Rhinolophus ferrumequinum: one gene and its partners. The protein of the gene in region 3 interacts with the protein of the main gene of each other region in a biochemical or structural test. Links are inferred from orthologs where the notes say so. Each region holds a gene or a part of one and is shown on either strand. Other genes may lie near its edges.

Evidence for each region. The genes of interacting proteins can lie anywhere in the genome.
Region 1: the proteins of ERBB2 (region 3) and FGR form a complex in vitro, tested with the Homo sapiens proteins (2 studies listed by BioGRID and IntAct, with this or other methods). The link is inferred for Rhinolophus ferrumequinum from reciprocal best matches to the Homo sapiens genes ERBB2 and FGR.
Region 2: the proteins of ERBB2 (region 3) and SYK form a complex in vitro, tested with the Homo sapiens proteins (2 studies listed by BioGRID and IntAct, with this or other methods). The link is inferred for Rhinolophus ferrumequinum from reciprocal best matches to the Homo sapiens genes ERBB2 and SYK.

What each region holds. Positions count from the first base shown.
Region 1 is NC_046292.1:18,957,973-18,965,520, forward strand, and holds the start of FGR (tyrosine-protein kinase Fgr), read right to left. Parts: upstream 3,084-7,548; 5' UTR 2,908-3,083; intron 886-2,907; exon of another isoform or gene 809-885; intron 1-808. UniProt on the Homo sapiens protein: Non-receptor tyrosine-protein kinase that transmits signals from cell surface receptors devoid of kinase activity and contributes to the regulation of immune responses, including neutrophil, monocyte, macrophage and mast cell functions, cytoskeleton remodeling in response to extracellular stimuli, phagocytosis, cell adhesion and migration.
Region 2 is NC_046295.1:3,382,901-3,390,059, forward strand, and holds the start of SYK (tyrosine-protein kinase SYK), read right to left. Parts: upstream 3,084-7,159; 5' UTR 2,958-3,083; exon of another isoform or gene 2,751-2,957; intron 1-2,750. UniProt on the Homo sapiens protein: Non-receptor tyrosine kinase which mediates signal transduction downstream of a variety of transmembrane receptors including classical immunoreceptors like the B-cell receptor (BCR).
Region 3 is NC_046304.1:36,302,092-36,309,417, reverse strand, and holds the start of ERBB2 (receptor tyrosine-protein kinase erbB-2), read right to left. Parts: upstream 3,055-7,326; 5' UTR 2,798-3,054; coding exon 2,725-2,797; intron 1-2,724. UniProt on the Homo sapiens protein: Protein tyrosine kinase that is part of several cell surface receptor complexes, but that apparently needs a coreceptor for ligand binding. Essential component of a neuregulin-receptor complex, although neuregulins do not interact with it alone.

The DNA.
Region 1 (7,548 bases), on a different chromosome or scaffold from region 3:
ACCTCTCTGAGCTGCAGTTTCTTTGCCTAGAAAAGAGGAATATAAATCTCTACCTCATAAGATTGCTTCTGAGCATCAAATGCGGTCAAGGCCCCGAAAACATCAAGTACATAGTAGATGCTCAGTGAACTTTCACTTCTGCTCCTTTCCCTTGAGGAAGGCCCCCTCCAAGGCTGAAAGAGGAGGAGTGGCCAGGCTGAGAAGAAAGAGAAGTTCCCTGGGTGAGGTGGGTGGGCTGAGCTGGCCCAAGCTGCCTGGGGGATTTCACCAAAAGAGAACTGGGACTTTGGGCAGCAGACAGGAAACCGCGATCCTGCAAGAGTTCCGGCTTCTCCTCAGGGCTCTGGGGGGGGCCAGGGACAGGCCAGGGCTGGAGCGGCAGGGCACAAGTCTCAGCCCCATGACCTCCTATCCGTCACCAAGACCTGACCCGCCCTGACTGAAGGCTTCCATTCCTCACTGAGACACTCCACCCCTCATGGAGCTCCGGTGCCCTTACTGACCCCTCTTCTCCCTCACTGAGGCTCCCACCTCTCATTGACCCTCCAACCATCTCCCACCAGGCTTTCTTGAGGCCTTACCACCCCACCCCAGAACACCCAGGGACGAAGGCTTACCCCATTCTGACTCTACTACCCTGGTGGGGCCAGGTGTGAGGGATAGGGGAGAGGGGGATAGGGCAAGGACGGGGAGGGTACCTATCTTTGCCACACTAGCTTTACCCTCTATATGGTCCTGAGGGTGTCAGCTGAATTTTCTTCACTTCTTGTAGGTAAAAGTGGTTTCTCATCTGTTGCTGAAAACATACTCATCAGCCTCTAAAACAGGAGTCTTTAGAAACTTGAGATTCTTGGGAGCTGGGAGACATGTGTGGTCCAGGAGGAGCTGAGGAACAGGAGTTTAGATTCCACAGTGTGGCCAGGCAGGAAGCCCCCACCCCGGGTCCCCCCTTAGGCCTGCTGGAAGGGCCCTTACTCTCCCTTCTCTGGCTCTGGGGCCTCGCTACCCAGCTTCTCAAGGTCTGGCCACTTCCTTTTCCACATCAGCCCGAGGTGGCTGCAGAGAACACCGAAATACCCACACCTATTCTCAGACACTCATGCTCATTCACTCATTCCCTCACAAACACTTCCACACCCTCACTCACAGCTTCACACCCACTGAGGAGCAGGAGCCAGCCCTGAAACCCAGGAATCCCATATCTTCTTGTACCATTGCCCTTCACCCATTCCCCTCTCCAGAAGTTTACATTGGATTTGGTAGGGATGAGGAGGGAACTTAGGCCTCAGTTCTGGCTACTTCCTTCACCACATCAGGGACAAAATGCCCAGGACTCTGGATCCCTACTGTTGGCCCTGTCAGTCATTGACTCCCAAACCTCCATCTTCCCATCTGTGAAGTGGGAACAGAGCTCTGCTCTCCCACTACCACCACCAAAAGCAGAAGGAGGCAAAAGGACTCAGAATCACAGGGTGTGGCACCGTGGGGGTTGGGGACAGATTTCAAACCTGCTGACATTCCCTTAACAGATCACAAACATTTATTTATTAGACGTCAACTGTGTGCTGGTCCTTGGAGGCCCTGTCAGGCTTTCTGGTTTTTGAGAAGGTGAAGGGGAGGTTCCCTGGGGTCAGTGATAAATAACTCTTAACCCCTCCAGGACACTGGGCAAAAAATGCTTTCTGCACCTGATTCTCATGACTGGGGATGAGGTGGGATCTAGCGGTTGGATAGGGGCAGAGATCATTTCCCCCTATAATTCAAATGAGGAAAATGAGGCCCAGAGAAGCCCCATAACTTGCCGAAAGTCACACAGCAATCAAGGGCCAAGTCTACCCAAGTTCTTGAATCTGCAGATCGCCCACCCCAGGATCCCTGAACACCAAGCATCATCGCTTTACTTCTCAGTTCCGCAGCCCGCCTCCGACTGAGGACACAAAATGGGGGCGGAGAGGGGACCAAAGGGGACTGTGAGGGCAATGTGCACTACAGTAGCCAAGTGCCAGGCTCTGCCTCTCCGCCCTCTTGTTGCCATGGTGACAGCCCCTCCCGGCAATCACGGTCAAAGGCAGGATTTCCGTCGGGGCAGCCAGCAATTCCCGGATCCCGAGGGGGAACGTGGACCGAGAGCGCCACTGCGGGCGGGGAAGGGGCACCCAGAGAGGCCTATCCCTGTTGAGGCGGGGACTTCCCCAGGAAGCCGGGACCCACGCCTCTAGCGCCTTGAAGGAGTCCCCTCTCTATGTACAGTCCGCCGACCAGTGCGGGGTGGGGAGGGGGCTGATAGGTAGCCGCCTCCGCTCCACCCGCCCCGCCCCCCGGCTGGCTACAGGCTTCCCCCCCGACTTTTGCCGATTCCAGATTGGAGGACTTCATGGAACCCCGGAATTGCGCCCTACATTCTGCATCCTCCACAGATGGCTCTCCTTGACCCCTTCCAGCAAACTCCCACACCTGATCCTCCCAGTGCCCTCACCTGCTTCCCCTCTTCCAGACCCCTCAGCTTCTCCCCAAACCCTCAATTTCAAGGTTCCCTCAGTTTCTCGCCCAGCCACTTTTGGGGGTCCCTTTAGTCCCTCGCCCCCGATTCAGCCCCCTTCCCCAATTCTATCAATCTCACTGAAGAGGTTCCCTCCGTCTTCCCCACCAGACCTTTTTTTGGGGTCCCTTTAGTCTGCTTTCCATATATTCCCTCACCCTCCTCCCCACATTTTATCACTCTTACTCTCCAGGTCTCCCGTTTTCCTCTTTAGCTTCTTTTCGGGGTGGGGCCGCTTTGGCCCTCAACTCCCTCAGTCCCCCTCCCTAAATTCAGGCTTACCCCACCTAGTCCTCCCTCCAGGGCCGCAGGCAGGCCAGGGGCGGGGCACCGCGCTGCCCCTCCAGCCCCACCTGACGGCCGCCTACCTGGTGCCAGGGGAGGCGGCTTCTGACGAACCTCAGGGCGAGCCAGCTGGGCTCCCAGCAGCCACAAGTGCCGACGTGTGGAGGGAGAAAACTGGGGTACTGCCCGCCTCTGACCGCCGCCCCCTCTGGGCAGGGAGGAGGAAGCCGTCTCGGACTTCTCTTATTGCAGCCGCAGCGGCAACAGCGGTGGCGGCGGGGAGAACTCGCAGTCACGCCCCTGCCCCAAGCTGCCGGCAGCGGGGAGGGGCCCTCAAATCCCAGGCAGGTCCGCCCGCCCCCACTTTCCGCCTCGGTTACGGGGGTCGGCTTTCCCACCCAACTCCTCCCCGCAGACCTGAACCCCCAGGACAGACTTCTTAAGGGCCTCTTCCAAGGGGACAGGTTCCTGCTCCCACCCAGAAGCACCAGCTCTTTTAGAATCATTGCATTTGAGGTTAAGAGGGTTTTTTCTCTAGCATTGAAGCCCCCATTTTGCAGGTGGGAAAACTGAGGACCAGATGAGGACAGGCCTTAGCAAATTTTCACAGCCAGTTGACCTCACACTGCTGTGACCAGAGCCACCAGTCACCATGCTTTGCCATCCTCAGGGGCTGCTGGGTGCTGGGGACACAGAGATGTCGGACAGTGGGAGCTGCAGGAGACCCTATCCTTAGGAAACTGCTTTTCAGAGCAATCAGCCATCAGCCCAAACTAAGGGAGGGGGAGGGTGTCAGCCTCCCCCCCCACACCCAAGTTTTAGAAAAACTGAGTGTCTTCCTCTATCACAGTTCCAGCCTTTCCAACTAGCAGGGATCCCTGAACCCCCTCAACCTGGGGTTCAATCCCCCCTCTGGCCACTGTTACTTTTTTAGCCTTAAACTAAGGACAAGGAAAGTCCCTCCTGTCAGGGGAAGAAGAAATGAGTGTAACAGGGCTGTTTGGTGGAGAAGTGTGTGTGTGTGTTGGGATACGGTGGGAGGCCGGGAGGGTGTGTGAGCACAGATGTGTGTGTGTGTGTGTGCGCGTGCGCGCACGCGTGCATGCGATTGTAGTCAGTGAACACGATGACTGCAATTTTGCAATCAACTGGGACACATTCTGCATGTATGAAAATAGGGATGTCTGTGAATGCCTGTGTGTGCGTGTGCACTTGTACATGCACCAAGGTGTATCCCAATGTGATTGTGGGGTGGCAGACTATGGTGGAATGCAGGTAAGAAGGCTTTCTCCTTAGGAAAATGAGAGAAGGAATGGGGAGGAAGACACAGGGAAGGAGGTGAAGGTGCAGGAACTTGGGAAGGATGGCCTTATGCTTGCTGGGCACCATCTTCTCCACTATCAAGCACTCATTGACTGGCCATTGGTCCATGTGTTTTTTGTTTTAAAGACAACTTTTTGGGGGGACAGGGGGCAATATTGGGGAACAGGGTGTTTCTCCAGGGCCCATCAGTTCCAAGTTGTCCTTCAATCTAGTTACGGAGGCCCATCAGTTCCAAGTTGTCCTTCAATCTAGTTACGGAGGGCGCAGCTCACTGGCCCATATGGGAATCGAACCGGCAACCCTGTTGTTCAGAGCTCGTGCTCTAACCAATGAGCCATCTGGCTGCCCCCGGTCCATGTGTTTAATGAACAAACAAACATTTACCATTGCCTGTCAAGTTGCCATCCTTAGGGAACACAGAGATGAAAGAGACTGATCCTTGTCCCTGCGCGGTGGTGTGTGTGTGTGTGTGGGGGGGTCCCCAAATCTATCAGGCTTTCTCTGTCATCCTTCAAGATCTGGCTCCTCAGGACGCCTTCCCTGATTGCCATCCCCATCCCCAGTAGAGCACTCAGCACCTTCTGCCTGGTGACCACTAGTTCCCAGGGTGTGGAGGTGTGAGATGCATTTTCCTCAAGGGCAAGGATTGGGTCTGGCTCTTGTCAATGCCCCCAGTGCCCTCACAGGATCTGGCACAGAGTCGTAGGCTCTCTGGGCATAGAAATGCATGGATTATTCAAGGAGCAAAGGAATTAACAGGTGAACAAATGAAAGGCCAATGAAAAAAATAAATAATTGAAGGTAAAAATTAAAGAATGAATGAAGAAATTCAAGAATCAACGACTGAATAAGTAAATTAATGGAAAAACAAAACTGCTGCTTTTAAAACACAAATTGGACAAATTCCTTAAAACTCTTAATGGCGTACCTCCCATTTTGCTTGGAACAATAAAAATAAAGTAAAATACAGGAATAATAAAGAATAATCCAAATGCCTTGCCATGGTCTCCCAGGCCTTGTGTGCCTGGACCCTGCCCACCTCTCCAGTCCATTGGGCCTTCTTCTTCCTCTTTAGCCAGGGAAATCCTTTTCAGTTCCTAGAATACATTAAATTTTTGCTTCAGGGCCTCCTCACATGCAGTTCCCTCTTCCTAAGACACTTTCCTTGCTCTTTATAGTACTGACTTCTTTCTACCCTTTACCTGAAGTGCTGCCTCCTCAGAGATGTCTGCCCTGACCACCCCATCTAAGGATCACCCCTCATTCTTGCTCTTGGCACCCAGTTGGTCCCCTGTATGACAGCTGTCACAATCTAGAATGGTATACTTCTCACTTCCTTGTTTATTGTCTGTGGATCTTTCTTGACCTCAAGAGATACCTGACATTACTCACGACAGAGATTCTATGAATCATTTATCCATTTAGAAGAACCTGATGGTTAGGAACATGGACTCTGGGCCCAGACTACTTGGTTTGTAACTATCTCTGCCTCTTCCTAGCTCCATGACCTTTGACAAATTATTTTACCTTTTTGTGCCTCAGTTTCCTCAACTGTAAAATGGGGATAATAATAGACCCCAACTCACAGGAGTCTTGGGAGAAAACAATGAGCGGTTAGACTTGTGCTTGGCACCTCGTAAGTGCCATATAAGTGTTTGCTATCATTCATTCATTTAATCAAACCTCAAATCTTCCCTGCCATTACCCTGTGCCAGGCTGGGTGCTGGGGGCTCAGATAGGAATCAGGTCCAGTCCTTGACCTCTATATAGACTTGCTCCCTATGTGGCACAGGTGACTGGTGAACACAGGGCAAAGAGGCCACAGGAGGGGCCTGCTAAAATCCCCCACTATCCTTCCAGCTCCTGTGTTCACATGTTCCTTTAATTCAATTTTGAAAACTGATAGCAAAACCAAAATCATAGCCCAACAAGCCTGCTGAGACCTCCTATCCATTTCCCATCTAGCTATCACTCTCCTGCTCTCACTTCTGTTTTCAACCAGCCTAGATTCTGTTGTCTCTCCTTATAGTCCTCCTTTGCAAAGACCCTGCACTGCTTGCCTCCCTCTCCCTCCAGTGTACTTGCATGGAAAGCCCCAGACCTGCAGGAATCCAACTATCCACCTTCTCTGGGTGTGGAGGAGAAAAACCACCTGCCATGCAGACAGGGTCACAACTCCCAGCCCCAAAAGGACACTACTCAGGCCCACCTACCCTCCAGGGTGTTTCTTAGTAAGCTGACCCTGGTATCTGCCCAGATGACCAGTTCACACCTTTTCTTCTCTCCCCCAACTTCCCACCTCTTCTCTCCCTTCCTGACTTACATTCCAAATCTTCTCATCTTTTGAGGACTTTACACCTTCCATAACCCCCTCTCCTGCACCATCGTCTGTCCGGCTGTCCATCTCCACAAGATTATCCTCCCAGCGTACAAACAGTTTCTAGAATTTTTCAGTTAAAAATAAAAAACAAAAACCTTCCCTTTGAGAATTAAGCATTTACCTGCCTTTTTAGGAGGAACTGCAGTTCATTCCTAGTTGATGAGGGAAAGCTTTTCTTTGTAGAAAAATGCCAGCTAACACACTAGAAGGAATGTGAGAACTAGAAAAACTCCATTTTGCAGCCCCAATTAGATAATCAATTAGGCAAGAATCATCATCAATGTATTTGTCAGCTTGGGTTGCCATAACAAAATACTGTAGACTGGGTGGCTCAAACAACAAGCATTTATTCCTCACAGTTTTGGAGCCTAGAAGTCCCAGATCAAGGTCTAGCAGGGTTGGTTTCTGGTGAGAGCTCTCTTCCTGGCTTGTAGAAGACATCTTCTCCATGTGTCCTCACATGGCAGAGAGAGAACCAACTCTGGTGTCTCTGCTTGTAAGGACACCTGTCTGATTGGATTGGAGCATCACTCTTATGACCTTATTTAACCTTAATGACTTCCATAAGGGCCCTATCTCCAAACAAAGTCACATTGAGGGGTTAGGGCTTCAACATAAGAACGGGGTGCGGAGGGGTGCAATTCAGTGCACAGCAGACGCCAAACCACTAGGTGAAACGTTTTAAAGAACAGAATGTTCACCAGTGCTACAGGAGTACTGTACAGCTGATCTGGTATCTGCTTTCCAACGGAGAGATCTGGTGGGCACCCCATACTGGTGTCAGCAAACTATGGGTTAACTATGGCCCTCTGCCTGTTTTTGTGCAGCCCTGTGAGTTAAGAATGGTTTTTACATTTTTAAATGGTTCAAAGACTCAAAGGAAGAATAATATTGCGTGACATATGCAAATTACGTTAAATCCAATTTCAATGTCCATAAATAAAATTGTATTAAAACACAGCCATGCTCCATTTACATATTACGTATGGTTGCTTTCATGCTACAATGACAGAGCCAAGTA
Region 2 (7,159 bases), on a different chromosome or scaffold from region 3:
AGAGTCACATGGCAAAACTTACATAATTAATTCTTAAGGGCAAAAAAAAAAGTCAAAATGATGCAAAATAACTTTGTCAGACAAACTTATACGCTAATAGAAAATTTCCCTGGTAATATAGTGTCAAAATGGATGATTTTTTTTCCTTTAAAATTTAGCCTATTTTTTAAAAATTTTCCCACAATTCCTCAGTTAAAAAATTTTTTTAAACTCTTTTCCACGTGAAAAGGAACAAACCTGTTCAAATCAAAGTAGAAGAGTAAGATGATAGGACATAATTAAATCAGGCAATTTAATTCCAATCTCTCTTTAAGATTCTGCCTTTTGATTTTAATTGCTTTTAAAGAAAAAAAAAGTTCAGTATGCAGACATTTTTAAAAATTCTCCCCAAACGCCTAAATTCCTAATTTTTTCTCCACTCATTTATAGCTAAACCAATCCAGAAGTGGAAGAAAATGTTAAAACTTGCAAACGAGGGGCAGGGGAGAGAAGATGAGTTAGTTGGAAAAAATCTGTTACAGTGAAAGCTTTCTCAGCAAAAATGAGGTCAGATTGGAGTGTCCTGCCATTCCTTAGGCACAGACGACAGAGCCAGCTGCACAGTGAACAGGAGACATTTCTTCCAAGCACATACTGCAGTTGGAAATGGTGATAGTACCCTTTCCTTGAGTAACCACTGTGTTCTTGCTCTACAATCCTAGACTGTCAGAAAATCTGCTGTTTGAAAGTACATCAGTAAGGATGAAACATCCTATTCTTACTTGCAGGATTTACATTTTGATGGTTATCACTGAAAATTCAGTGAAGTTATGCTATTTCAGACTCCCTGACAAGAAGGGAATTGCCTATCTAATTACTGAAAAGTGTGAGTTATTGGGCAATAGAAAAGCAATGTGTTTTCAAAAGCAAAACAGTAGCTTGATGGAGTCTCACACAGACTCAGTCCTTTAGTCGAACTCCAAAATGCTCTGAAAAACAGGTTTCTTTGGTAAGTTTTAGGGACTCTCATTTAGGGACAATGCCTGCCCTAAACTGACGCACAGCTAATTACAGTCTTTATTTATTCCACATACTGAGGCTGTTCACAGTGTCAATGCACAAACATTAACGTGTGCCATTACAGGAGGCTGTATCGGAGTGGTACCCACCATACGGTGTCAGTGTGCATACATACCTGTCTAAATTCTGAGAAATGTCTTTCTCAATGCTAAAATTCTAACTTTGAATTCTAAACTGTGAAAAATCCTGCATTCCAAAACCTATCTGAGCACAAGGGTTTTAAACGATCACGAACATGCAGTGTGCTGCCTAAGTGGTGTCCTACTAAGAAGTCTGGGTTAAAAACAGAGAAATCAGACCTGCTCTCAGAATATTAAACATGAGCTGAAGGAAAGCTAAAGTGAGCTATTTCTGAAGTGTAAACCTACCAATTAAATGATCTTCCAGCCAATTTCATCCCCCAGGAAAGGTAAGGACCTAAAGTACACACCTCATTTTCATCATGGCTTAAAACATTAAAAACAATTCTAGTTAAGACTACATAATCCTACATATCTAAGCATTACAGACATAGAGAATACAAATCAATTTCTATTTTATTGCAAAACTCTAAACACATCACACATATGATGTAGATAGAACAAAATGATTTGATAAAATCATTTTAACTGACAAGATTTCTCACTTAAAACACCTAACACTTTACAAGTATTTTAATCATTTAGCTCAAATACAAATACATATATCTATGCACCATCCAGACTTTTGGCAGGGAGGGGCATTAATGAATTTAATTGCCTTTAATTGAAATCCTGCCTGTGAAATAGCAATGAATTTGTCCTTACTAAAACAAAGAAATCAGATACTAGAGTCAATTCCATTTCTTCTGGAAATTCTCCATTATCACAATTATTATTTATTTATTATTATTATTATTTAGTACGAAGATTCAAATGTGGGACAACTCCAACTCTTTCAACTACACGCTGAAATGTTCCGAGGGTTTAAGAGAAAGACCAATTCCTCCAGTAACAGTTCTACTTGGGTTCAATGAAATCTTTGGGGAGTCAGGCAAACTCATTCAAGTAATCTGCAACACTGTTTCCAACTTAGAACGATTTAAACTCTAATTTCTCCAACGAAGCCTTTCTAATACTTCAACATTCAGACAAACGAAAAAAAGAATTGTCTTTGTACAGTTATTTAGGTGGGTTTAATATTTTAAACCATATTGACAAAAAAACAAACAAACAAAAAAACAAACAACACTTAAAATTTACATTTTACTGCATAAAACTACCCTGCGCTCCAAGTCATTCATTGGCTAATTAAGTTACTTTACCACGAAAACGTGTCGTAAAAGGAGCAATCATGCAAAATTTTGGTAGTAGTTAAGAAAGTTTCATGTGTCGATGCAACTGCTCTTTCTTTCTGTAGTACACGAAATGTAGTGTATATAAAACCTCTGCAGGCACACGAACATTTGTACATTGAGTCACTTCGATAAATACAGTGGAATTTTCCAGGGCATTCATGTAAATGGACGAACGAAAATTTCTTATTTTGGAGTTCCCCGTGCCGGCGGACTCCAGCTCCTGCTTCCCAGGACCCTGTCGGGACACTGTGGGCGCTGCCAGGGCACCTGGGGTCCGGGGACCCCCGCACTGACCCCCGGGCCCAGGCCTGGCACCTAGTACAGGAGTCGGACCCCGTGAGGCTCTGGGTTTAGGAGAAAAGCTGGCACCACCTACCTGCTTCTATTCGAACGATGTCATCAATTTCCCCTCCTTTTTCAAAGGCCGAAGGCCCCGAGCGTCCCTGCCCGGCTGAGCCCGGACACCCAGAAAGCGGCCAAGGAGGCGCAGGGCCGCGCTCCCTGCTCGCCGCCTTCCCGGCCCCAAAGCGCCGGGGCTCCGCGGTCCCGCGGGCCGAGCGGAAGGAGCGCGCGCCACACCTACCTGCGCAGGTAAGGCGAGGGCGGGGCGGCGTGGGGTCGCCGTGCGGGGCGCCGGGCGCGGGGCCGGGGCGTCGGGAGGATGGGAGAGGAGCGGCGCCGGCCGCGGAGTCGCCTCACCCGCCCAGCGCGCGGCGCTTCCTCATTTTGGGCAACTTCCTTAACGCGCCCGGGCAGGCCCCACACTTCCTCCCGGCCGCCTCCCCAGCGCCCCGTGCGCCCCCACAGCTGCCTGTGCCCCCAGCGCCAAAGGCGCCCCGAGAACCCAGGGCAGGGCAGCGGCGGCCAGAGCGCGCGGGTACCCGGCGGCGAGGTCGACCTGGGAGGCCGGAGGGGAGGAGGAGAGCGGCCGGGTGACCGTTCCACCCGTCTCCCGGGCACAGAAGCCCGGGACAGGGGCCGTCATATACCATGCGGGGCACTGCCAACAACGAGAACCTCTCCCCCTGTCGCCTTTTTTAAGGACGACAGGCTGTTAGGGGCACCCCCATTTCCCCGTGCAATTCCTCAGGAAGAGAACCTTTTTCCTTGTGCGGTGCATTCCCAGTCATCAACCCGAGACACCCCTGCTGACCGGTGACCAGGAGGCCCTGGAATCCCGCCAGGTGACCTGCCTGAGATGAACGCCAGACTTCAGGCGCACCTTTGGGTGGGCCCAGCTTGCCCAACACAGCCAGTTTTCTGATGGCTTTAATTGCTACCAAGTTCTTGACAGTGAGTTTGACTTGCTTCCTTCTGTAATACCTACCGCGGTCTGCAGTCTGGAGCTAAATAAATTATTAATAAGTTTAACCCTTCTCTGTAGTCCTTAAAATGGTTTTAAAACACCTACCTGGTTCCCCTTCCCCATCCTCTCTCCGCATTTTTTTCTTTTTCTGTTGGACAGCCCTCTTTGAAATGTCCGTTCCCCTGAAAGTTTCCAGACCCTCACATTTTTGGTAACACTGTTTTGAAAACCTGTACCCTGAGCCAAAACACAATGACCAATACAAAATAGTGTGTTAGATTATAATTGACATGGAGAAGAATAAGGCGATAGGAAGTGTTTACATTAGATTGGAGCCCCTCAGACTTTCCACTTGGGCATTCTCTTCCAGTCATTTTTCCATTTAATTTTTAACCCAAGGAAGGGTTTTTATTATGATTATATTTGTTAACCACTGGACTTGTTTTTGCTTCAAAGAGCCAGTGAAATAGCAGTTGTTCTCTAAAAGACTGGAGGCTGCAGGAGGTTTTTAGAGTCGGCGATGTTGCTGAAAAGTAGAGTCGGCGATATTGCTGAAAAGTAGGGGTCCTGCCTTGCGTTTACTGAAATTACATGTTTCCTTAGGGGCCGCTAATGGCGGTGAGGTAGGTGATGTTCTAGATCCATCTGCCTGCCTCCCTGTAGTACTGGGTCCTTCCCACCTTTGAGTCATCTTTAAAAAGTTAATTAGTATGCTTGTAATGATTTTTTAATGTTAAAATTATCACACAAATATCTATGAATAGAAAAAATCTTCCTGAAACTCAACACATTTCTCCCAGCCTTTCTTCTTTCCCCCCATGTGCTGAGTGCTTTTTATCTTTTCACTGTGATCAGTCTTCGCTGTGATTGTATGCTGAGTCCTGGAAGCCCTTCTAGCAAAATGCGCACCAGGATGATCTCAGGGACACTACACACAGTCACTTTTTAAAGTCTCCTGTTCCCTGCAGATTATTATTTTTATTTCTTTAAAAATAGTCAATGTTTTTCCCCCAGTTTTGTTGTGTTATTTCCACCACCTGAAGTCTCGCATATCTATCTGCTTGTGTTGTCTGAGTGTTTCTGTGGTTCTTGTTCACGGTGCCTGCCTTACTGTGTACTTGGTCACGTTAGACTGTGTACTTGGCCACTTGTTGTCCCTGAAATATTTGTGGAAATTAGTTGAGGCCTGGGAAGAAGGTATTTTCTTTCAGAGAGAATTTTTCTTTGCTTCTGTGCGAAACCTAGGGTTTAACTAGTATTTGGATAATTTAAGAAAAGTTCTCAGGTTACATTTTTTTCTTTTTTTCTTTTTTTTTTGGATCACCAAAGTGATATGAATTTGGGCTGGAAATTTGGGCACAATTTTGGTCAATTTGTAGTTACAGTTTCTCAAGGATGCATTTCTTCTGTTTCTGTTCTGTGCTTCCTTTCACTTTTATTTTGGAGTTGTTTCTTGTATTCCATGTTGTTTCTTGTATTCCTTTCTCTTCCTTAGTTTACTCTGTCATTTTGGTGGATCACAATCTCCAGGAGTTTCCTGACAAATGGAAGTACAGTGGTACCTCGGTTTTCGACTGTAATCCACGAGTTCTGAAACGTTCGAAAACAGCCTACTGCGAGGCCTCAGGATCTTGCACTTAGCGGAAGCCACGTGACATGTTCAACTTCTGAGGCGTGTTCGAAAACAGAAGCATTTACTTCCAGGTTTACGGCATTCATAAACCAAAATGTTCGTCAATGGAGACGTTCGAAAACCGAGTACTACTGTAGATAGTTTAAAGACCTCCCATATCCAAAAAGGTTCTATCGTCAACTGTGATTGATGGTTTGGATGTGCTCTTCCATCCTGCATGATTGTATAGAATTCTAGTTCAGAAATTACTTTTCCTCACAATTTTAAGCCATTATTCCATTGTTTTCTTGTTTGCAGTGTTGCTGTTGAGAAATCCAAACCATTCTGAGTCTTTTTCCTTTGTCTATTCATTCTGATTCTTTATCCTTTGAGCATAGTTACTAGTCGGGTGTTTTACTTGCCCACACTTGCTAGCTTCTCCAGGCCTTCTGTTTACTCCTCTGTGGGTGACAGCTCCTTGATCCTTACATCAGGATCAAAGAATCATTGATTCTTTCTTCGTTCTGGGAGTCACTTTTAGGGTTTATTAGTCCCTTTATGCCTGATTTTCTATAACCTTTGGGCATTGGTTATGGAGTTGCGTTGCTATAACTGGGTCCTCCCTCCTGCATGAGAATGGGTTGAAGGCAGGAGGGTTCACTCTTCATTGGGAGATGGAGAGGGAAGAGCTTACCCCACTCTTTTGGGGGCAACTTTGAGCATCAGCTCCGTCCCCCAGTTAATGTGGGTCCCTGGAGCCCTCAGACTTCTGACAGTCATACAGAAAGCTGACATTTCTCTTTTTTCTCTAATCTCCACTGCAGACATTTTCACTACCTCAGAGTCAAAAATGGGGAAAGCTAAGAATAAATTATCACTCCTCTTTCTTCTATCAAGATTTGAATGAGAATTGTCAAGATTTTGTAGACACACCAGTTATGGTTTCTGGGAGGTGGGAGCATGACCTCACCCTGCTCCTCTCAAACTTCTGTTTTCTATATGAGCGAGCATTTTCTGAAGTCCATCTCATTAAGCCCTTCTCCTTTTCTTGTTTGGTTACTACCGGTGACTTTTACATTTTTGTTTTCTCTTCCGTTTTTGCTTGGGTGGCAGAGAGGGAGGGAATCTTTTTGTTTCTAGATAGTGGGACCTTGAAACTCCATGAATATTTCATTACTTTTATCCAGAATTTAATGCCAGACATTTTTTTTTTACTGTAGAATATATCCGTACATTGTACATTTTAATATTTAGAATGCAAGGTCCTCATATTTAACTCTTTCAAATTAAAAATACGTGAGTTACACATGACATGTGTTAGGATGCTTTAGGTTGCAAATAAAAGAATACTCAACTCCAACTATTGAAATGGTAAAATTTGATTGGCAAAAAAGGGAGAAAGTTCCAGAATGAGGACAGCATTAGGTGTACTTTTATACAAATAATTTTAAGTTGAGATAAAAGTCACACACACAAAATTCACCATTTTAACAATTTTAAAATGTAGGTGTACCTTTACAAAATGTAGTTATTTAACCCTATCTTGTCTTAAGAAGGCAAGTTATTTTTGCTAGACCAGCATCGCTGAATCTCCGTGATGCCCACCACCTGGGCACATCTATCTGCCAAAATGCCACAGAATGTCACCAGAGGAACAGCCTCCTTCTGCTGCTCAGCTCCCTCACCAGCTCAACCCTGATTAAAAAGGGACCTTTCACCTACAAATGGTGGACTTCCTTCTTTTTCTGTTGTCAATGAGGTTTTGAACAAGAAATAAAAAAGTTACTTAAGGACTAAGGATAGCATTTGAACTTAGGCCACACGTGACAGCCCACTGGTGAGAACTCTGGCCAGGGTCAAAAGCACG
Region 3 (7,326 bases):
CATCCAGGGGCAGACACAACTACCTGGGGCCTACACCAGTTCCCCATCCCACCCTGGCCCCTCATGCTTCCACTCAGCTGTCTCCCTCCCCACAACCCTGTAAGTGCCACTGGCCTCTGCCCCACTCCTGCTCTCAGTTCCCTGCCACTCTGGGAGCGCCCAAGAAAGAAGCAGACATGGGCTGGACAGGGAGAGAGAGAGAACTCCAAAGCCAAGCGATGACACGGGTGGGGGCCAGTTGAGCTACACTTTCTACAGCCTAAATAAGGAAGATCATTCACCTGCGTAACAGAATAGTCGGGCTACCCGGCTGCCCCTGAGGCTTTGCTCAACCCATTCCTATTGAATGGAACAAGACTGACCAACTCTTAATGCCTCCTCGTTAGAGTCCAAAATTGCCCTGGACATTATTGGGTCACTGGGAAACCTTGGATAAGTCACTTCATTTATTTGAACTTGAGTTTTCTCATCTGTGCAGAAACTTCACAGGATTGTTGCAGAGATGAAATGAAACTGTATGGATAAAGAACCTGGCATGTAGGAAACACGATGTACATTTTTTGAAAGGGAAGTTCACACAGCAGTAGTATGGGTAATTCCCAACTGAGAGAAAAGAAAAGGTGCTTTGTATTTGGAATGCAATGTATTTTCTCTTCTTGCATTGGATCCCATCTTTTCAATTGTTTGTGTGTCTGTGAGTATTAAAATGAAGTTACTTTCCCTAAGTATAGTAAAAAGAAGGAAAGAGGCTGTTGGGAGACTCATATGGGAATTAAATATGAGCTCTGCAAGATAAAAAGGATGTGTTTGCTATCCTTTATAAAACCTTGACCTCTAAGAGAGGATCTCAGAAAAATCCCGACTCTCTGGGTCCTTCTCCATCTCCCCTTCTCCCCACATTCTTAACCCAGCTCTCAGCCCTTGGATGTAATAAGGGTGCTAGAGGCAGCTTGGTGGTGTGCTGCCATTTTAGACCATTTCCAGCAACACATTCAACATCTGACTGCACCCGCAGTGTGGGTTGAGGAGTGACGAGGAGACCCCAGTCTCCCGTGGGGGAACTGACTCCTCAGATCCCAGCACTGCAGCAACCCAGCCATTCCCCACCTGTTCAACTCGAAGGCCCAGGTGAGGAGGACAACAGCTCAGCCTGACAGCCCAGCCAGCCCTCAGCCTTCTCAGCAGGTCAGAGGTGAAGACTCGGCCTGGGTAACAGGGAAGGGTGGGCTCCCTCCCGGAGAGGAGACTTCTTCCTCAGAGAGAAGGCGTGGGGCCACCTCCCACTGTTTACAGCAGAGCTGGCCCAGCACCTTCAGGGAGTTCCTTGAGAGGGCAGAGTTCAGTCAAGTCCCCAAGTCAGCAGAGAGAGTGTTTGGCAACACAAAGCGGGCGCGCACGCACGCACACACACACTCACACACGCACACACATACACACACCTCAAGAACACCCCTCAGATATCACAGCAATGCTCTGGCAGGGGGGCCCTCAGGTGACACAGACAGGATGACACCCACCCCTTCTCCAGACTCCCTGATCTATGGAGACCACCCACTACTCCCAGGACCCAGTGCCGCAGGGAGCAGTGACGCCATTGTTCAAGGTGGATTAACAGTGGTTTCAAATGTATGGTTGGGGGCTCACTGGGGTCCCCACTACTTACTTGCTGCTACTTAACCTCTTTAAGCCCAGGTTTTCAGAAGGAAAATGGGAATATCAGTAGAACTTCTCTCATAGGGTTGTTCTGAGGATTAAAGGAGGGAACACATGCAAAATACCACGCAGTATTTCCAGCTTTAATCGTTATTGCATCGGGATGGACAGATGCGGCCAGACACTCGGTAGTCTCCCCATCAGCTTCTCCACACACAGCACGAGGGGAAAGGCAGCACAATCCACCCCTCTGCACACCCCTGTCTGGTCCTATTTCTTCGCCTCCCACTGCCCAGGAATCCCTCTCATAGAACTCTCCCATTTTATGCCCCAGACCAAGAAACCCACCACCACCCCTCTGCCGCCCCTGCTCTTCAAAAGTCACAAAGCACACAGTCTCTTTAGGAGCTGGCCCTAAAGAAACTTGTTCAAAACAAACGTCTCCCCCTCCCCCCCCACACCCCCGACTCCAGCGTGAGGCAACTTCGCAGTCCGACTGGCCAGCCTCTCCTCCCGGCTCTGGCCGGACAGGTTGTTTTCCCCACCTCCCCCTCCACACCCCGATCTTGCCTGAAGCTGGAGTAACTAAACCCAGTCGGCTGAAGGGGGGCGAGGAGGGGGTAGGGGTAGGGGCAGGGCAGGAGGGACCCCCGGGGAATCCAGCCCGGTCCAGTCCGGAGGCGGAGGCTGCCAACTGGAAAGGCTTTGAGAAAGCTCGAGGGGGCTCAAGAAGGGGACACATACACACACACAGTGCAATACACCCTTGGAGAGAAACTTTCTGAACAATTTCAGAGAACTTTTCTGAAAAGTTCCCGGAGCTGTCGCGGAGTCCGGAAAGCGCCTGTCTCCATAAAGAGACACGGAGAGGCGTCTTAATTGACCCCCCTGCCCCACCTTTTTTTGCCCCCTCCCCGCAGAGGGCCGGCGGCTCCGAGCGCCTGGACTGTCCGAAACTTCGGGTCTGGAAGTTCGTACGGCACCCCCTACCTCGCCTGCCCGCGGATTTCAGCGGGGTCCCAGGCTGCAAGGTCCCGTCGCGGCTCCCTGCCCTCCCCAACTCAGACCCACCTTGGGTGCCAACGGCTCCAGGGGGCAGGAGGGCGAGGAGGAGCCCCCAGCGGCACCAGGCCGCCAGCTCCATGGTGCTCACTGAGGCTCCGGCCCCATGGCTCCGGCTGGACCAGGCTGAGGGGGCGCCGGGCAAGGCAGGCGGAGAGGCCAGGCGCTCGGCGCCGGAAAGAGCACCCCGCAAAGGGGCGGGCCGCTGCCTGGGGGGGATCTTCTGAGCTCTCCGTGCACGATGGAAGGGAATCTCAGCCCCACAACTTCATTCTTGTACTTCCTCGAGGCAGCTCTCCTCCTCTACCTCCTCCTCCTCCTGTGATTGGGAGCCAGCGCGCTCACAGCTCGCCCCCCCCCCCCCGCCACCCCCTCCAACCGCATTCCTGCAAGTCCCTGGGAGTGGCAACTCCCGGCCTCACTTTCTCCCTCTCTCGGCGCAGGCCTGGGGTGCGCGTCCCTCCCAGCGGCCGGACGCCCGGGGTGCCTGCCGCACTTCTCATTCGTTTCCATAGAGAGCCCCTAAAAGCACAGGACGTGATTGCGCCCCCTCCCCCGGGAGTCTGGGGCAAGGGCTTTAGGCTGCCATCCTTAAGTCTCTTTTAAGTCGCCCGTTTTATTTTAAACATTTCTGGCGAGTTTGCATCCTACTCCATCACATGCCTATCCGTTTTAATACCAATAATGATTTTCCCACCACATTCTGAGGTAAAATTGATAGTCGAGGAGGGGTGTGTATTGTATTTAACCTGTGGCTTCCAGGACTCCCTAGGATACCTTCTCGAATTTTTCAGGTATCTTTTCCAGTCTGAAAAGCATGATTTTAAGAGGGTTTACAAGTTTGGAGGGAGAGAGTCAAATTGGAGGGACCTCCATCTCAGTCCTTGGAAAAACATCCTTCTTGTTTCTTTACCATTGGGGCATTCAACACCAATTTATCCGAGGTTTTTGCCTCTGTCCCTTGCTTTTTATTAGCTTGCTCAATTCCACCTCCCCACCCTGCATTCCACCTGGAGCCCCTGACCCTGTCCTTAAAGCCCAGTGGGGGGTGGGGCGTGGAGTGGGGGCAGGGGATGGAAGAAAGGCATGTTTCTGTTGGACATTCCAACAAAACATTGCAGGGGACATACAACTTACACTAACAAATTATTTGTTGTTTATCTGAAATTCATATTTAACTGGGCATCCTTATTTTTATTCGCTAAATCTGGTAACTCTAGTTGGAATGCCTCAGACAAGAGCTTGTGCTGTTCCAGAGGGGATCAGAGTCACCTGCTGAGTGCTGGAGAATGAGGGACAGTAGCATTTCTTAATCTGCTTCCATATTCCCAGCTTGGTTACAGGCAGGCACTTTTACAGTAGGGGGGCTGAGAACAGGGTGTTCTGGGATCAGAATGACCTGGGTGCAAATCTCCACTTCACCACAAATTAGCTGTGTGTGTGTGACCTTGGGCAAGTGACTGAGCCTCTCTGGGCCCATTTGCTTCCTTGTAAAATAGCATCTGGCATTCTAAGCTAGGGGTTAAAGGAGATAATGCTGCTAAAGCACTCAGCCCAGTACTTAGCATATAGTAATTGTTCAATAAATGGTCTCAGGTTTAGTTATACTGTGGTAGATCAGGTTTTGTGGGGCCTGAAGCTTATGAAATTTGGGGGATCTCCTTAGGAAAAGGAATACAAAGTTATGAACACAAAATTTGACACATGCAAATGAGGGGCCTGAAACATAACCTTCCCTTAACACCATGGTAAATCCCCTCCAGCTCTAACCAGTGATGTTCAAACTGCAAGTCAGGTTTTATTAGAAAGTTGGTCATGAAACCAATTTAGATGATCAAGACAAGTTTTTTTGTTTGTTTTCAAGAAATGGAATGGAATAGAAAAGATTTGCACACATCACATGTAGTAAGGGTAAGTATGGGTAAGGAAGGGTATGTGTATCTTGGTGATGAGGTCCAATGGATTGATTCTTTGGATCATAGTCACAAACGTTCAAGAAATACTACTGTGTATGGGGACACAGCTGCCTTTCAGGATGGGCACCAATATTCCTATTTTCTCTAGGGTTCAAGTTAAGAGTTAGAGAGGGTAGGGTCAAGGAAATGGAGGCTCAAACGAATCAACCAATTTGGCCAGGACCCTCTCCGGGCTAATGAAGAAAAAGTCAAACAGCCAGCAAAATCAGCTCCTCACCCTCACCCCAGCACATAGCCCAGGACCTGGTCAAGGTGTCTCTCAGCCCTCCAGGGAGAGGAGATGATAACCTGGCTCCAAGAGTCGCTTGCTGGTCACACACGGGACGGCTTGCCCCTGAGCGTGTGTGCATTGAGCCTTCAAGAGACCAATCAGGGTGTTAGGGTCCGTGTTAAAGAAGTCCCTTCTCCTCCAGGTCCACTCTACCCTGCCCTTGAGTTAGGAGGGCTGGTCCAGCCAGGAACGCTTCTGTGGCACCATCCTTTCCTGGACTGGACCCCTACTCTGTACCACTCTGTCCTAGAGGCACACTCCTTATCTCACTGAGTCCTAAGGTGCCAGAGGAGGCGCTTGTTATCTGTCCCCATTTTGCAGAAGAGGAAGTTTGAGGTTCCAAGATAATGGAAACTGAGGCACGAGGCTTTGGCTTCATCCATTCCCCTCCAGAGCTTGAATCAAGGGTACCATGAAACCACCCTTACCCAGGGCCCCTACAGGGGAGCCAAAGGAGGGTCCTCCAAGAAATCCCGGTAACTAACTACCCGTACCAACCCCCTGCTACCCCTGCCGAGACAAGCCCACCCTCTCTGCATCCCAGAAAGAAACCCGGACTGGAGACCATGGTCAGTCCCATTGGGCTGCTCTGAGGGGGCGGAGCCTGCAGGCGGGAGTGGGATTAGGGAGGAGCGGAGGTCAGAACTCACGCCTGCCCGGGAGGAGGTTCGAGAGGGGCCGGGGTTCCCAGAGAGAATGAGCCCATTCAGAGCCGGGAAGGAAGGGGAAAAAGCCTTGTCTGGTGTTTGACAAGAGGAGAGGAAGGGGGGCAGGGGTGGGCGCTGCTGATTCGCTTCTCCCCTCCACTGCCCCTCCAGCATGGCCTGGCAGGAGAGCCAACGAAAGAGGATATCTGACAGACAAAGGCTGGGGGGTGGGGGTGGAGGTTTGGAGGGGGCTGGGGGACCGACATGAGCCTGAGAGTTTGCCAGCAGGGTCCAGGAAGGACCCTGGGGAGGGAGACAGCTACAGAGAAGGGGTATAACTGCAGCACACAGTGGAGCCAATGGAGGGGCAGAGGAAAGATACATGAGATCTGCACGAGAAGGTCTTTGGGCTGCAGGTACCCGGCCTGTGGGCAGCAAAGGTGACTACTGGCACTGAAGAGGCATGAAGGGGCTCTGGCTTAGGGAGATGACCTCTGAGGGTCAATAGACTGGGGTCTGAAACCAGCAGCCTGTGAAACGCCAGTCAATTATTGACCAGCCGCTGAGACTGGGGGACACAAAACCGTGTGTATGTGTGTGCGTGCGTGGTGTGTGTGTGTGTGTGTGTGTGTGTGTGTTGGCACCAGAGTCTCCTCCCTCTGCCTACCTCACCAGCCAGCCTGGGTCAGAGCACTGAAAACAAACAGAAAAAGGGAGGAGACGGTCCACAGTCCGAGGTCCAGGCCACAAACTGGGGCCTACCCCACAGGGCCTCAAGTCTGGGACATGAGTTGCTGAGGAAGTGTCTTTATGAATTAGTTACTTGGAAGGAGTCCCCACAGGGAAGGCACCAGGCCTCCCTGGGGCCGCAGGAGAGTTATTTGAAAGATTTTGATAAGGAAATCTGTACTTCCTAAAGTTAGCCTTTTAAGAACACTTACAACCACTGGAAGGTCAGTCCCTGGGCCCAGGGGTTAGCTCTAGTCCCAAGGTTAACAAAGGAGGAGAGGCCAAACGGACATGTCGGACACGCTGACCTTGGGCATCCTGATCACCTCCCTCAGCCCCTCTCACCCCCATCTTAGGCTTGCAGGCCCAAGGCCTTTCTCTCTCCCTAGGCTGCTTTGCCAAGACAAAAAAGTGCCCTTGTGATCTCAGCCTCAGCTGGCTTGAACGCAGGTATATGAGTACATGTGACTTCCATCCTGGCCTGTGCATAGGAGGGAGGCTGTCACACTTTGTGTTCCTGAGTCCTGTGCTGTCAGTGTGTTTGTGCTGGCCGCTTAACATATGTCTTTATTTATCTGGGGGTCTTTCCTCAGACAACAGCTAGATTGTGTGGCCTTGTGTGAGGCTTCACTTCGCCTTCTGAAATGTGAGAATTAGATTGAATGGTTCCTGGTCACAGTGTTTTGGGAGTTGATGTGGGGGACCCCTTTAACCCCCATGCTTATCCCTTGAAAGCCCTATTGAGCCATCCCTGGGCCACATTCCAGATTCCTTGTTTCACAAGCACTGCTTCTTCCTGCTCCATTCAGCCCTTCGGGAGCCCAAGCTCATCCCCTTGCTGCTGGAGATACAGACCACTGAGGTATGAATGAGGATGTGCTTGCCTCCGGCTTTGGTTTGAGGAAGAGGAGACTAGTGTGGGGGTCCATTGCAAGGCTCCCCAGAATGTGCCGCCCTGACTTGCAGATTGTTTTGATCTGAAAACAAT